3 linked regions of the Caenorhabditis elegans genome follow. The protein of the gene in region 2 purifies or fractionates together with the protein of the main gene of each other region. This does not show direct contact. Each region holds a gene or a part of one and is shown on either strand. Other genes may lie near its edges.

The links.
Region 1: the proteins of F57C7.4 (region 2) and prp-39 fractionate together in Caenorhabditis elegans (co-fractionation; one large-scale study listed by BioGRID). This does not show direct contact.
Region 3: the proteins of F57C7.4 (region 2) and plc-4 fractionate together in Caenorhabditis elegans (co-fractionation; one large-scale study listed by BioGRID). This does not show direct contact.

Annotation. Positions count from the first base shown.
Region 1 is NC_003283.11:5,678,062-5,684,237, forward strand, and holds prp-39 (Pre-mRNA-processing factor 39), read right to left. Parts: upstream 4,570-6,176; coding exon 4,508-4,569; intron 4,225-4,507; coding exon 4,147-4,224; intron 3,615-4,146; coding exon 3,419-3,614; intron 3,367-3,418; coding exon 3,134-3,366; intron 2,854-3,133; coding exon 2,553-2,853; intron 2,494-2,552; coding exon 1,965-2,493; intron 1,696-1,964; coding exon 1,221-1,695; intron 1,169-1,220; coding exon 1,073-1,168; intron 1,024-1,072; coding exon 944-1,023; intron 896-943; coding exon 813-895; 3' UTR 537-812; downstream 1-536. Other genes in the region: hmgs-1 (Hydroxymethylglutaryl-CoA synthase), read right to left, coding at 4,802-4,941, 4,991-5,202, 5,257-5,445, 5,493-5,727, 5,774-5,999, 6,046-6,176.
Region 2 is NC_003284.9:10,586,538-10,591,161, forward strand, and holds the start of F57C7.4 (PKD/REJ-like domain-containing protein), read right to left. Parts: upstream 3,029-4,624; 5' UTR 3,002-3,028; coding exon 2,732-3,001; intron 2,671-2,731; coding exon 2,506-2,670; intron 1,372-2,505; coding exon 1,207-1,371; intron 1,161-1,206; coding exon 1,099-1,160; intron 1,054-1,098; coding exon 896-1,053; intron 849-895; coding exon 715-848; intron 666-714; coding exon 536-665; intron 490-535; coding exon 422-489; intron 380-421; coding exon 259-379; intron 213-258; coding exon 115-212; intron 70-114; coding exon 1-69. Other genes in the region: sdn-1 (putative syndecan), read right to left, coding at 3,818-3,993.
Region 3 is NC_003282.8:7,508,988-7,514,481, forward strand, and holds plc-4 (Phosphoinositide phospholipase C), read right to left. Parts: upstream 3,681-5,494; 5' UTR 3,675-3,680; coding exon 3,559-3,674; intron 3,512-3,558; coding exon 3,232-3,511; intron 3,164-3,231; exon of another isoform or gene 3,071-3,163; coding exon 2,684-3,070; intron 2,638-2,683; coding exon 2,337-2,637; intron 2,287-2,336; coding exon 2,189-2,286; intron 1,858-2,188; coding exon 1,494-1,857; intron 1,450-1,493; coding exon 905-1,449; intron 856-904; coding exon 691-855; 3' UTR 537-690; downstream 1-536. Other genes in the region: R05G6.5 (Uroporphyrinogen-III synthase), read left to right, coding at 152-231, 283-398, 450-488; R05G6.4 (Nitric oxide synthase-interacting protein homolog), read left to right, coding at 4,249-4,320, 4,373-4,714, 4,763-5,100, 5,150-5,330.

The DNA.
Region 1 (6,176 bases), on a different chromosome or scaffold from region 2:
CAAATAACTAACAACCCGCGTTCTGATAAGGAGCTAGCTGCCTCCAAAATCGGTCTCCCCCGCAGCAGCATGTTGTTCGAGTGTGCTTACCTCTTGGGACTCGTGTCTTTCTCAAGAGTTTCGAAAATTTTACAAAACGAAATGTTCGTCGGAGAAGAAGAAAAATCATTATCATCAATCTTTAAGGTACAATGTTTCTATCCGTTCTATTTTCTCAGTTCCGACTCCCGATCGACCTTTGGCCTGCTCAACGGCTGCGGGCTCTTCGCACCGAACAACTCCGTAATAATCCGTTCGACTCGTGGGCTCGCGGCGCGATAAAATCCTGAAGCAGCAGAATTGGAAACAATAGATGATAGTCAGTCAGACTAGGTCACTTCGGAAGGAAGAGGAGCTTCCCAAATGAGTTTGCGGTTCAGATTTAAATTGAGAAATAACAAACACTACTGCTGCTTCCCCAGGAGACACCGGGAGAGACTCATACAATAAGGAGGTGAATCACGCATTGCTAATCTAATCTTTGCGATACTCACACATGATGAACCTTGGGTTTATTTTAAAATCAGATTTTGATAACAATCAGTGGAAGGAGAGTTGAATAAAAACGAAATGAATCGCGGATGAAAAAGGAAAAGGGCAATTGCAAATATTATTGAACAAATCAGTGCTAACAGGAGGTCGTGGACAGATAAATAGGATAATTTAAAAAAGAACAGCAATTACTATTCACGGTAACTAGTTCACAAGTTACTCTGTAAGGTTTAAAAGATGAGAGTCATTGTATATTGATTGAATAAAGACGGTCCTTGGGTTTAATTTGTACTGGGAGATTCGATAAGAGTCAATTGAACAGCTGAAGAAGCCATGTAGGGCATTTGCATTGGCATCATTGGCACTAAAATGTACGATATTAAAATTTTGTTTGAAACTAAAAATTACTAACTCATATTCATGGCTGGTTGTTGCTGAATAGCTGGAGCATAAACCATCTGTTGTTGGGGAGGCATAGCTGGAGCCAGTGCACTAAACATTTCAGAATTTCAATTATTTATAAACACTTGAAAATACTTACACTCTGCTTGGGTCGTTCACAAATCGAGTTCGAATCGTCACATTATCCGGCAGTTGACCAAGAAGGTTATAATGGAAATCACGATGATCCTCAACTCTGAAAAAAAAGAAATCATTAGAATTTTAAGAAAGTTTCAAGAATCCCCTACGCAAGAATATTATTTCCAAGTTCTTCCAAAAAATCGAGTTTCCGTTGGCTGAATCGAACTTTGTCCTCTAATCTGAGATTACTGTCCAGTGCGACGTCGAACGATTGAATAACATCTAATTCAGACATCGATTCAGAAGAATACGCAATATCAACATATTGACTGTACAATTGCAAATTGAATGGGTCGATCGAGATTGCCTTCTTCAGAACTTTCTGAGCAAGTTTAGGATCACGACGCGACTTTTGATGATATCTTGCGAGTTTTAAACTGTAGAACGAGTGAAGATTTGGGGACGATTGGGAATCTCTAATAAGCGATTCGTATTGATTCATCACAAATTCCGATGGCGCTCCGTGTCCTTCTTTTTCAGATTTACGACGGAGAACCCCGAGGTAACGCAGCTCGAGGAGGACGTATCCAGGATATTCTTCACGGAAATTGTCCAAGATTTTGATGGCATCGTCGAAATTTTCTGAAATTGTTTGTTTGTAAATTGAGGAAATTTTGATAAATTATTAATTTTTAACGCTGACTAAACTTGAAATTCAAAAAGTTCAAAAAGCCTCGGAAACGATGTAAAAGTGTATATTTTTTGATTAATATGACTAATAGAAACACGTTCTTTCCATGCATAGAGAAATTTCCAGAAAATTCAAATTTTCAAATCACTTTTTCTAATATTTATAAAAACTGAACTAAATTATGCATTCAAAAATTTGAACAGTAATTTCTGTAACTTACCAACAGACTCTTCGAAACCGGATTCACTGAGAGCCAAATTCAGTGAAGTAGGACAATGTATCTTCGCTTTCATATAAATCTCTCGAGACTTTGTTTTCGATTTGTACGTTTTCCATGTCCAACGAGCGTACTTGATCCAAAATTCTTCATAGAGAGAACATGGAATCAGGCATCTATCGAAAAGAATTTTAACGCGTTCTTCGTGGCCTTCCTTAATTTCAAAGTCCAAATAAGACATCCAGTTGAATAATTGTGGATAATCGAGTGGTTTCACATGGAAATATGGTCTTTTGATGTTTGCTTCGAATCCAGCACGTATCTCGCACTCTTTCATGTTCTTGTCATAAATTCTCTTACGGCGAGCCACAATTTCTCCGCGAATAAGCTGTAGTGCTGTCGGATCGTGTTGGAGACTATTCACAGTGATCGGGAATGTTCCTTCAGCGGATTCCGTCATGATGTTGAGCATTCCGTTCTCTCCAGATTGACATATATAACTCAATTGGACTTGTTGCACGAGTTCTTCGATCTGAAATAATTAAAATTTTGAGATGAATAAATAAATTCGACAATAATCTAACAACTGACCGATTTCCCAAGCTGTTTGCAGACCATCTTCATTATCTCTTCGTATTCTCGATCACTGAGCAAAAGATGTGGCTCGATAGTGTTCAAGTACTGTACGTATCGATCGAAATGAGATGGTGCATGGAATGTTGGAGTAGATAAAAGTTTGTCGAACAAAACTCCAATTCTCTTGCAACTCGCATTAGTGTTTCCTTTGCAAAGCTCATCCATGTACACGGCACGTTCAAAGCCAATTGCTTCCAGCCAAAGCCGATCACTTTGGTACTCGAGCCCCGCGATTTCAATTGCTCTGGCGTATAAACTGAAAAAAAAGTATTTTGAGTTGCTCATTTAGTATTTGATTAGAAAACGTTTATTACGTAGACGTGCCCCGCTGACAAGGGGTTACTGTAACTCATGCGGATTTACGGTCCGCTACTGCATCAGGTAGCAATTCTTCACTTAATTTGAAAAATTAATGCTATAGCGGGTCGAAAACCGACATGACTTGAAAATTACAGTAACTCATTTTCAGCGTGGCGAGACCCATGCGCGTGAGAATTGAGACGCCTGTGTAATATCTGAATGAGGAGAAAACCTACTCTCGCAAGGATTCTGGCGGGAAGTTCTTGATATTCTTCACATCTGCAGTATATCCGAGCCAGAGATCAATCGAAAGCGGAATACTGATAATTCCTTTTTCCCAGACAGCTTTAGCTTCGGCAATATTCCCCATCTTCTTCTCGTATTCGGCGTATTTCTGCCAGAATCCGTAACAATTTGGATATCTCGAAAGGAAAGAGCGATACTTTTCGCGGGCAAAATCCACATCATCCTGAAAATTGTGAAAATATAAAGTTAATCGTGCCACAAAAAGAATGCCGTACACTCTGATCCACTTTCGCAAGAATGTTCACCCAATTGTCGAAATCAGCCACATCAATTGGAGGAGTACCGAAATGGCTTGCCACAGAAGGTCGAGTCATCAACGAGGTATCCTTGTAATCTGATCCATGTCGGCTACTACGACTCCGTTGAGATCCTCCTGTTGTTCTATGACGATTCGAGTTGGAACGAGAACGGCTGAAAGTTTGGTTAGTTAAAGTAGAGTAAATTATTTCGAGTTTCTTCAATGTGCATGCAAAAACATAGAAAACAATTTTGATAGTACGAAATTAGAAATATTATCATGATTATTATTATTAAGCTTCTTCGTGTTGCTCAAAACCGTATTCATCCACAGCTTTTGTGTGCTCCTTCCCATCAGTTGACGCTAAACGCTAAAGTCGGATTTAAATAAAAAGTACTAAGCGGCGGTTTATTTTATTTATAAAATGTACACAAAATAACACAATTATTATCACTTTCTCATTTGAGACTCGGAGAGTGGCGAAGAGCGGAAATGAACGCAAACCTTTTCTGTAAAAATGAGGGCTTATGCAACGTGTATGTTTGTTGCCGAGAATTCTTTGTTTTTTTCTGATTTTTCATTGTTTTTCATCAGAAATTAACCCTTTTTAGAGTGGGAAACGTCCTAATCCAGAAAGGGAAAAGAACCCGTGAGTGTTGACATCATGAGTACATCATGCAATCCAAAACTAAGAACACATCGTACCTTCTCCTTCGTCGATCTCGATCTCGATCCGAGTCCCGATGCCGATCGTCGCGACGGCGGTGTGAATCTTCTCTTTTTCTGAAATTCTAATTTTGGATGGTTTACTTCTGAGGGGCCGATGGTGCCATCAGGATTTTTTACTAGGCATGTTTCATGTGAAAAAATTCAGGAACGGTGAGATATGAATTTTAAGCGGCGAAATTTCAGAACCGAGCTTGCGGTGAGTTTTTGAAGATGCTCAGAGCAGTGGTTTCGTGGGGCTCACGAAGCTTCCCACAAGCTGTTCTGGAATTTATATTTAACCGCTTCACATCATGGTCCTCCAAATGAAACATGTTTCGTTCAAAAGTCCGGTGCATACCTGCTGCTGCTGGAGCGGTAGTAGTCGTCTGTGTCCGAGCTTGACGACCGATCTCTTCCCATCTTAACTTTGAAATTAAATTGAGCCGTTCGAGAAATGGAAAATATTGTCGTGACAATAGTACACGTGTTCAACAAAATCAATTATCAGAAAAAAACAACTCGTTTTAATTTAAAAAAAAGAAAAGAAAATACAACTCTAATGAGCGAATAAAAAACAGTAACAAAGAAGTAGACTATGGCAAACGATGTGATAAAATTAAAAACTAAAAAAAAAAAAACAAAAGATACATTTTTAATGATGAATTCCGTTCCCGTTTTGAACACCGTTTGGTTCCTCGTGTAAAGTATATGATCGGCGATAAAGCTTGTCCATGTTATCAAGGAAATAAGTGTTGGGAAACAATGAAGTTTCGGATGGAGATTTTGGAATCTCTGAAAAACAAAATGACATTAAAAACCAATCACTATTAGAATTACTCACCTTTTGATCGTAGGAAAACTTCTCTTTTTTGTAATGTTTCTGTAAACTCTTCTGGAGTAAACTGAATTCGGTCATCGAGCCTTTTAATCGCCCTTATTGCGACTTGACGAATTTTATCAAGATTAGATGTCTGCCTAACTCTTCCTGGGAAAATTGCTGACGCTAGACCACTTCCATAGGCGAAGAATAAAATGCTTTTCTCCCCGGTGACGCTGAAAAGTAATTTTAAAAATTAGCTCTAAAAATCGGTATATTCTTCATCATACCAATCATCTGCTGCCAAGTATGCTAAAAGTTGAGCAAAGAGTGATGGAGTATACATATTTCCGATTCGCCTGTTGAAAACAAGATATGGATCTGTTTTTTCCTTCCAAACTTGAGCAGACAATTCGATCATTTTTGCAAGTCCAGCGCGATCGTTTTCATCGAGTTTATGATCGACACCATTTCCATTTCTGAATAAAATAAACATTTGAAAATTTTTCTAAACTAATCAACCTACAATTGCTTGTGACGAAGTTGCGAGTCAGTATAGTTCATCACAGCCAGGCCTTTTTGAACCATTTTCGTGAACGGTGAGTGAAGAAACACTCCGTCAAATGAGTTCAGCCCGTCGATACCCGTTGTATGGCGATTAACTTTTGATATGAAATATGTGTATGTCATTCTGACTGCTTCCAAATATGAGCTCAATGATAATGATCCATCGACAACGGGGTATTCACTCGGAATCGGCGCTGGAATTTAATTTTTTAAAAGTAAATAGAGAAATTAATAGCTTACTAATTGGCTTAAAGAAATCCCACGTGTTTTTCATGTGACACGCTGAAAACTGCCGATCAATCGGAATAGAAGCATCTGGACAAATAAGAAAAGCAATCGCTCCTGCACCGCCTGTACATCTCGCTGGACCTTCTTCATATATTGCAATATCCGCGACTACTACAATTGCGTTTTTCTTATCAAGCGGATGATTCACTGTGACCCAATCGATAGCGTGCAGCAGTGCCTGAAAATATAATTGAAGATTCTATTTTGAGAGACAAAAAACTCACTTGTGCGCCTCCAAAGCAGGCATTTTTGATGTCGACTCCTTCAATATCCGAATTTCCAGGAAATAAGTCCATTAAAGCTGTCTTCACACTTTTGCTCTTGTCGATCATTGTTTCGGTACCTACAACCAAAC
Region 2 (4,624 bases):
ATATGAATAAGCCGGTAGTTTGAGCCCGTCATCATACATTTTGCCTTCCCCATTCAATTTCCACTCGTACTGAAAAAAATAATGTCATTTTTTAAAGCTTATGTATTGAAACACCTGAACATCTTTTGGGGACGTTTTGGAGCTGCATTGCTTAAAAGTAGGGTTTGCACGGAGACGAAGACCGAATGAAGCAGGGGTTTCTTGTTCAACGCCTAGAATAATTTGAGTTTACTCAACATTTTAAAAAGTATCAAGTACCATCAATAGAAACTGAAAACACTGATGCATCATCAACAAGTGCGGTATAGATTGGTCCACTTGAAGTGCATTTTTCCGCTACATTACACCCGGTGACCAGTATCACATTGTTTGTTGATAGCTTCAAAAATAAAATAAATCAAGTTTTATTTTTATATCTTACATGATGACTGGGGATTTCCAGAAGTCTTTCTGTTGCGGCTTTTGCAATGGTTTCCATATCCAAGGTACCTTAATTTATGAAGTTGATTGATATTACATTATAAAAAAATCCAACCATTCAAAATAGTCCACTGAAAACTCAAAGGCATGAAGCCGTTCCCTGAAATCTGTTTTACTTCGAACGTTGTTGAATTAGAACATGTAGCCACTTCTTTTTCATGGGAAACTGTAAAGTTTGGATACACCTGCAACTGTGCGCCTTTCAATTTTATTTGCCCTTCAATGAGAATTTACCGCATTTTTTGGACTTTTGAGAAATGCTGATCGAGGTGAGAATTTTGTTTTCACTTCTTGTAGTATGCCGATCTTTGGATTGGCACCAAATTTAATGGCGACATTTGCCCCATCTCCCAGACAAATAGGGTTTTCTGAATAATATGTACTTTATGAATGATTTGGTGGAAAAACTAGTTACCTCCGAGAATGGAAGAGTTTTCCATCAAAACCTCACAATTCATAATGCCCATTGGAAATTCAATTGAATCATTAACCTTTTGAATGTTTATACCAAGTAAATCATCAGACAACTCGGCAGTAAAATCTTCAACTTTATCAATGTGAATTTCCAAATTGCTGTATTAAAAAATAGTTATAATTTTTAATATAAGTTAGTTGTACCTGTTGTTGACATTTGGGCAGAATCTAACCAACAATGTTGGGATAGGCAACACGAGGCATTCCTAAATTGAAGAATTAAAAAATATATTTGATCTTTGTCAATCTCACACTAGAGCAAGGTGATGAAGAAAAATAGGACATTCCTCGTATACTTGCCCTACTGGTATCATCCCAAACAAACGGAATAATTGAAATCCCACTTTTTGAACAGTTTATGGAAGCGGAGCCATTAACAGAAAAAAAGAAATTGTAGTTGGGTGGTACTACCAAAAACTGAAAATGCCACTGTTAGAAAGAATTGAGGTATTAAAAGACGATTTAAAATTATTTTTTATAAATGTAGTTTAATAATTCAACCGATCAATGTTGTTACTGGAACTTTCTACTATAATAAATCCGCAAATTTGATGGGGATCTAAACTCATCATTGATAATAGTCCTAAGATTCTAAATTCAATTTATCCAGGATATTTGATACAACACGCTCTTGTATATTTCTGCTTTATCATATGACGCATCAACTTGGCTTTAAAAAGTTATCTAAATATTGGGCTCTGAAAAAGTAATCACTATTCCAATGGAAATAATTTTACTAAACTATTATCGTTTCTTCATTGTTGTTGTGTAAAACAGCACAAAAATGTGTTTACTATAAGTATTGTGACCGATGGATTAGCATCGACACGTGCATAATTGATTTGAACTATTATAATGTTTATTCTATTGTTGATGTTTTTACTATAACAATAAGCATGTACTTTACCTAAAAAACCTAACATGTATAAACCTGTGGCAGATATAACATGTGTTTCACATTTTTCCATATAACATAACTTTTTAATTATAACGTTCCTGGCACTGTTGTATTGATTCCCTGCATTTTCAAAAATTTTCAATTTTTTGTTTATTATTACATTCAAATTAAACGTGATATATTTAGGTTTTGTAATGTTATTTTCAAAGCCTGAAAATTCAAAAATTATCCTTACGTTTTCATTCAAAAATTTACTTCTAAAAGTGCCGGTCTCTGATACACCAGTAAGGTTTTTTTTAATGTCAAAGTCGAATATATTGGTTGCTCCCCCGACTATCAAGTGTAAGGCACTTAAATACAGAATCAATTTTCTCACTACCAATACACCTTCAATTTCACACCCTTTGCATAATCGAAATAAAAGACAAGAGCAGTTGGTCTTTCACAAGGTCTTTGACGCATTTTGAACATACACACACGGCGACACGAAACGCGCCATTACATTACAACCATATGGTTCCTATTCCCATCTTTCAATACGTTTTTTTTTCGTTTTTTGTTCTCATATATTTTATATGGTTCTATGTGGTAACAAGAAGACCATTCGGAGACACCTTCAAAATGAAGATGAATGAGACATGACCAATACTTACCCGTTTTGCGTCATCAGCATAATTTTGAATGTCGACGCAATGAACTGTCGCATTAGGAAACGGATTGTCATATCCATCTGGATCGTCTATTTCAATTGGATGCTCACTTGTCTCATCAGGAGCTATTTTCCATTGAACGTCAGTGCGTGTGCCTGCGTTGACCACCTGAATGCAAATTGAATTGCGTGTTCGTCAATTATTCAGAATTTTCGAAAAGGAAGCTAACCAATGCGGCAAGTGTCCAACTATGATTGAATGCCAAATGACTTAGAAGCTCACTGAGCACAACACGAGTTGATGTTGTTCCTGCGTTGTCTTTTAGAGTTGGCACATTATCGCTGGTTAGTTGAACAGTGTCCACAAATTCAAAATAAGCTTTTTCAAACCGAATACAGCTTGTTCCAGATGAATAGCATTGATTGAGAATCTTACATTCGCAGAATCCAAGAATTAGGAACAGTAATAACAAATACTTCAATAGGCGCTCTTCTATCATTCAGAAAAATTACATGGCAACCGAAGCCAAAAAAGAAAGCTCGAAAAGTATTAGTGCACGAGGCAAAAAAGTTTTACGTATTCTGATTGAAAAAACGCGCAGCTTTATTTTGTCTCTATGGAAACCCGTTATTTTCAATTTAAGGCTTCGTTTCCTTCTTCTTGTTATTTCATTGTCCATGTGAGATTTCTCATGATCATTTTTCTTTCGTTATTTGTTTATTTATATTGTTTTGGAACATTAATGTAATATTTTTATATTTATAAATTTGAATACATAAAATATGTGAGCATCTCAAATTGTTACAGAAGATGTTATTGGAAAGAAAAAGGTAAACGGATAAAACAAGAAAAAGTACAAATTTCAAGAGGCAAGTTTTGAAACAAAAAACTCTAGCAGATAAGTGCCATCAGAAACCAGAGAAACCGCGTGAGAGTGTTGAGGGATTTTGGAAATTAGGTGGAAATTTCTAGAATAGGATAATATGAGCACATTATAGTAACAAGGGAGTATAGTATAAATTGAGTCAAAGATACATGCATCCCTACCCCTAAGTGGGTCTACAAAAGATTATATTCAAATATTTGGCACCATGGAGTCAGATCAGTTTATATTATCAAATTATCACGAGTAGAACAGAGAGTAATGACCTTTACGAAAGGAAGGCGGGGGGGGGGAGGGTTTGAAAAAAATGGGAGTGGGAAAAAAACAAATTGAAAGGTATGGCAGATTGGAATGAAGTCTGAGAACAGAATCATAAAAATGATTTGAAAGGTGATTGAGTGATAGAAGATTTTGAACAAATGACAGTAGAGATTACGCGTAAAATTCTTTTGTCGATGCTTTGGTATAACCATACGAGGCATATGGTCTTGCTTGCTTGGGTTCATCCAATGCGTATGACCCTTCATCTTTTTTCCTGATTCGAAAGACTACAAAGAGCACGAGTAGAATGGCTGTAATCACCGCAACGAGAACACCTCCGGCAATAGCTGAAAATATCAAATTAAATCAAATTAAAATAGATAATTCTACAACTTTAAATCTTTTCGTTACTAAAAAATAAATAAGCTTTGTGCTTTATTCCAAACATATTTTTATGATCTCAACCCGTAAGGACAACATATAATATCAGTAATGCGATGCATGTAAGAAATATTGCATTGTCCTAAATTGAACTTTCTTGGTAGTGAATAATTTCAATAAGAGTTTAATTTTGTAACTAAGTGAAAAAAAATTTTAGTTTTCCTTTCCAACTCACTAAATCCTTTCAAAACCGTCATCTTCTCTCAAAACCTTTCATTCAAAAGGTTCCCCTTTTCCTCACAGACACTTCCTCCACTCAGTGTCATAAAATCAAATATGCACAAAATGCGACCCTTGACCTTGCCTTCCTTCTTTCTTCAGCGGCTTCCGTCCCACCATCCCGAACCTCAGGCCCTTTTTCTCAAGAGAATAGAGCTGGGGCTCCTTTGTTAGATGTGGGATGCTGCTCAGATTTTGATAACCACAAAAGAAGAAAGCATAGCAAGTTTTGAGAAGAGATGTCAACTTTACTGAACAATTCGTCTTTCCCCACATTTTGAGACACGCGTCATAAGGGGTCTATGTTTTCTTTAAAAA
Region 3 (5,494 bases), on a different chromosome or scaffold from region 2:
AAATACTGAAAAACAATGGAAGAAAAACATTGCGCACAGTTGAAAATAACCGTTACCGTAGTCTCGTTTCGGTACGAAACCTTCACACTTTTGGAGGTTTTTCAAAAAATCTATCCGAAGAGTTTTAAAACTTCACAAGCGTTTAATTCAGAATGAGTTCAAGTGATGGAATATATTATTCAAAAACGACAATTGCCGCCTATCACGATATAATTTTCTTTTTCCCCAAGTGTAAGATTCCATAAAGTTAGAATTTTGACTCTCCCATAAAAATATATTCAGACATTGACGAAAGAGCAATGCTGAAACATGCCAAGGATTATCTCTCAGTAGAAGTATGGCCGAAACTGAGCCAGGGACTGGCTCGCGTAGCAGTTGAGAGACCGGATAATCCAATTGTTTGTTTTCGAATACACCATTTAGTAACATGATTTTTTTGACTCTTTCAGAAATGGCTCGCAGATTATCTACACCAACTACGCCAATAAGTTTATGTTTCTAAAAAATAATATAGTGTAAATACCCATAAACCAATAAAACAATAAATTTTTTAAAAATATGCATTAAAAATTAACTACAAAACTATGCGAAAGAAAGGGCAGTAGAACATATATTACATGTAATCAGATAACACACAGGTAGTGATAAAAACGGCTTTGGTCTCAAAAATATGTTTAAAAAGCAGGAGAATTAGTACTCTTCCTCCATTGCAATTCGTACAAAAAGAGATGCAGATGGGTCCAGAGTATGTTGATATCCGGTATTTAGTTGAATTTGCGAGAAACCTGTACGAAGACTCATAACAGGAATTGAGAATTCTCCAACAAAGTCGTTCGAAGATGTAGAGTCAAAATCCTGCGAAAGTGGAATATAAAATTTAGATCCATAATGTTTCAAAACCTACTTTTACACAGAATCGAATAATTGCTAGCTCTGGGCACGAGAGTGTGAAATAGAAATTATCCCTCCATTCTGGGTTGAATCCATTGTCCTTGATGATTCTTGTTTTTGCTTTTGTTTCATCTCGTGGAATTCCGAAAATCTGAACACTGACGTATGGATCAATGATCTCTTTTCCGGGTTCTGACTTTGGAAGATACTGAGCAGAGAAAAGTCCAATACCAAGCTTCAATTTTGGTTTGGCCATACTTCTTGGATCGACTCCATCGAGAAGGCAACTTGGTTTCAGAACGTAACCGCAATTTCCATTAATTCTGAATAATCCTGCATTCAAATCAAGCTCTTCACCAGCGGTTTGGAAGTTCATAGCAACACTTTGAATTCCACAAAGCCAAGAAACCATTGGATGCATATTTGATGAATCTTGACGTAATCCTTTTGGATAACTCTTCACAAGCCTTTCTGCAGTGTAAGTGAAGATGGGAACTGCAGCTTCAAACATTGTATATACTTTATTTTCCGAGAGCGAAGGACTTCCATCAAATGGATCTGAAAGTTTGCATATTAATCTATTTTTGACGTTTTAAACTAACGTTTGTTGACGTCTTGATAAATATTATGGCTCAATTTTACTGACGGCAAACCAATGAGAGCTGATAATTCAGGTGCAACTGGATGTGGATGTACATGGTGCTTATCCTTATCAGTTGGTGAATCATCTTCATCTGGTTCTTCAATGTCTTCTTCAAGAATAATTTTCTTTCCGCGCAATAGGAATTTTCTTTTCAGCTTATTCGGAGATGATAACGGATGGCGATGTGAATCTTTTGGTGGAATATATAAAGAATCTCCAAGAATTTCTTTGAATAAATCTGCCATAACAGCCTGTTGTACAAATCCGACGTGGTTTTCGAGGGTGAGGATGACAGGATATGGTGATGTTTCAAACGCAGTTCTCTGAAATGAAACATTTTTTAAAAAAATGTAGTGAGAACAAAAGAATATCAAAAAATAGCGGAAGAATGAAACACCTAAATTTGAAAAAAAAACACAAGTTTTGAATCTTGGTTAATCTCCCAGTTTGAATTTCCTCCATAATAACTTCTGCAAGACCAATCAGCGAATCGCTCCGCCTACTTTTCAGATGAAGTGTGCAGAGTTCGAAGACACTGATTGGTTCTAAAGTGGGCGTGGCTTATCATTTTGGAGGGAGTTCAAAAAGGGAAAAACCAAAACTGAAAAATTGATTTTATTTCGATTTTTTCATTAAAGTACAAATAATAATTACCTTAATAGCTTCCAGCGAATTCCTCAATGTAATCGACTCGATAAAGGTTCTTTTATGTGTGATTACTGGCTCTCCGTGTTCGCCATCAAACAAGTCTACTGAAAAGAATCGAGAAACTAATTGTTCAACAAAAAATTCAAAAACTCACATTCTAAAAGCCTTGCTCCTTTACGTAAAGCTGAAATATAACCTTCAACAGTAGCTTCTCCTTTCACTTGCAAGCCAGTCAAATATGTGTTATGTGATGAATTAACAAAATAATGAGTCAGAGGTTGATCCATATCTTGGAAGATACTTTCATGTCCTGGTTTGAATACATTTCCCCATCTTGACTGCATTAATCGACGCATTCCCATCAATCCCATCAATTTTTCTTTTTGCTTATCTTGAACAGTTTGTTCAAATGTAGTCAGAATTTGTTCGGCTTTTTTCAAATCAACATTTTCGAACTGGAATAAATGTTTATATTATAAGGATTTAATGGAAATGACCTACTCCTTGTTCTTCAGTTAAAAATCTTTGCAAATCAGCAACAGTCAGCGTTTCCACGTTATCAGAACTTGCTTGAGTCATCACAAATCGAAGATCCGGTCGATCAGTCAATCTTTCAAAAAAGTTAAGAAATTCTTTCTCGTTCAATTTATTATCTCGCGAGTTCTCAAACTCTGATTCTCTGAATATCGCTTTTGCATATCGTTCACTTATTTGAAGATTCATTCGTTTAAGAAGATTCCAAACTTCGTCAAAACTAAGAAGTCCGTTTTTATTGGTATCCGCCTGTTGAAATTTGTCAATCAACCATGCTGTTTCGTTGAATACAACTCTTTGATGTTTGGCAACTGATATGAGATGTGTCAGTACGGAAACCCATTTGTCTCTAGTCTGTAAAACTAATTGGAATTGATACAACTGTCAAGACTTTGCAGATTTTTTTTCAGAAAACTTTCACCAAAAAATTTCCTTTCAATTTTAATGATGTACTTAACGACTTTTCGGAAAATTTAAAACTTGTGTTTTTAAATGATTTTTAAATCAAAACTAACTTCTTTGGAATCAGCACTGAAATCTACTGATTTGTGCAAGAACTTGGCATGAGAAAAAATAACGGAGAAACATCTAGACTCTGGAGCCAACTCTTGGAATTCGTATTTTTTCGATGCTCTTTGCAGATTGTCAGTTTGATAACCCGATCGAACTTCTAACAATTCCGATAGTGCAACTGATTTCAAAGCATTTGGCACAAAATTAAACCAATAACTTGAGTAATAGTTGAGGAATTGTTTACTTTTTATTGTCACCAACGCCATTTCCTTCACTTTTTGACTGTAAATAATTACATGAAATATAAATTATTTGAAGTGAAATCTTACTTTTTAATTCTACATAAAAGCGATCCTTTTTCAGCCCATTCTAATTCTTCTTTCGTCTTCTCTTCATCAGCAGCTTGTGCGGCGGCCTGCTCCTCTGGGGATACGCTCTTGGCCATTTTACACTGAAAATAAATGATTTTACAAATAAGGTCGGCCGTATATGATAAGAAAAATCAACAAAAAGAAGACAAAATGAGATAGGAACCAATTGCAAAACATTTTGTGGCAGCCGTTGCGGGCGGGTCATCGAATGAAAAAGAAGAGAGAAAAAGATGCGGGCATGGGCCAGAGAAACATTTTGAAAAGATTGTCTTTGTTTGGCAATGGAAGTATTGATTGGTATACACACACAAGGATTCAATACAAAAATAGGTCGTACTTGGCAATATTGAAGACAACTTTAAGACGAGAACTCTCCAATTTCTCCTGTAGGTCAACAAATGGGAGGAGTTTTTCCAAAAAAAAAAGGAGAAGAGGTACGATGCTCCGTTATCCCACCGCGCGTTGTTTACCGTAAAACGACATGACTATGTTTTTATTTTTGAATTAACAATTTTAAGCTAAAATATTCGTTTTTCTTGTTTTTATTTTATTCATTTTTCGTTAAATGTTATGTTTTTTTTTAAATTTGTTCACTCATTAACATCTAAATTAATATAAACTGGCTGAAAAACGATTTTAATACAGAAAATGACCCGACATGGAAAAAACTCAACGGCTGCTTCTGTATACACTTACCATGAACGTAGAAGGGATGCAAAAGTGAGTTTTTTGCCTGAATACTAACTTTTATACATAAAATATTAATTTTCAGGCTAGTGGATACGGAACACTCCACGCTCGTCTTGGTGCCGATTCAATTAAAGAGTTTCACTGTTGCTCTTTGACTCTTCAACCATGTAGAAATCCAGTAATTTCTCCGACCGGATATATTTTCGATCGTGAAGCGATTCTTGAGAATATTCTAGCCCAGAAGAAGGCGTACGCAAAGAAACTAAAGGAATATGAGAAACAAGTGGCAGAAGAAAGTGCAGCGGCAAAAATAGCGGAAGGCCAAGCGGAAACCTTCACAAAAAGAACACAATTCTCAGCAATTGAAAGTACACCAAGTAGGACCGGAGCTGTGGCCACACCAAGGCCTGAGGTTGGAAGTCTGGTTGGTTAGAGATCTGAAAAAAACTATCCATTTAATGATTTTATTTAGAAAAGACAAGGTGGTGTCATGTCTACTGAAATAGCCGCAAAAGTGAAAGCACACGGCGAGGAAGGAGTAATGTCGAATATGAAGGGAGACAAAAGCACTTCACTACCAAGTTTCTGGATACCCGAACTCAATCCCACCGCTGTCGCCACGAAATTGGAAAAACCAAGCTCCAAAGTTCTTTGTCCGGTTTCTGGAAAACCTATAAAATTGAAAGAGTTATTAGAAGTGAAATTCACTCCAATGCCAGGAACAGAAACTGCCGCACACCGAAAATTTCTGTGTCCAGTGACCAGAGATGAATTGACAAACACCACAAGATGCGCATATCTCAAGAAATCGTAAGTTTAGCTTCATGTTTTCAAGTTCAATGCTCATATTTGTTTTTAGAAAGTCGGTGGTTAAGTATGACGTAGTTGAGAAATTAATCAAAGGTGATGGTATTGACCCAATAAATGGAGAACCGATGAGCGAGGACGACATCATTGAACTTCAGAGAGGAGGAACCGGATATTCCGCAACAAACGAAACAAAAGCAAAACTGATTAGACCACAGCTCGAGTTGCAATGATTGGTTTTTTCTCTTTGTTTTATTTATTTGATTGTACATGTGTTCTCAATCATTCTTTTTTTTTATTTGAAAAAATCTATAAATATTATTCTTTTTAGAAATTTAGAACTTCAAACTGGTTCAATCAATTATATACAGACAATCGCAAAAATCCGAAATCAGAA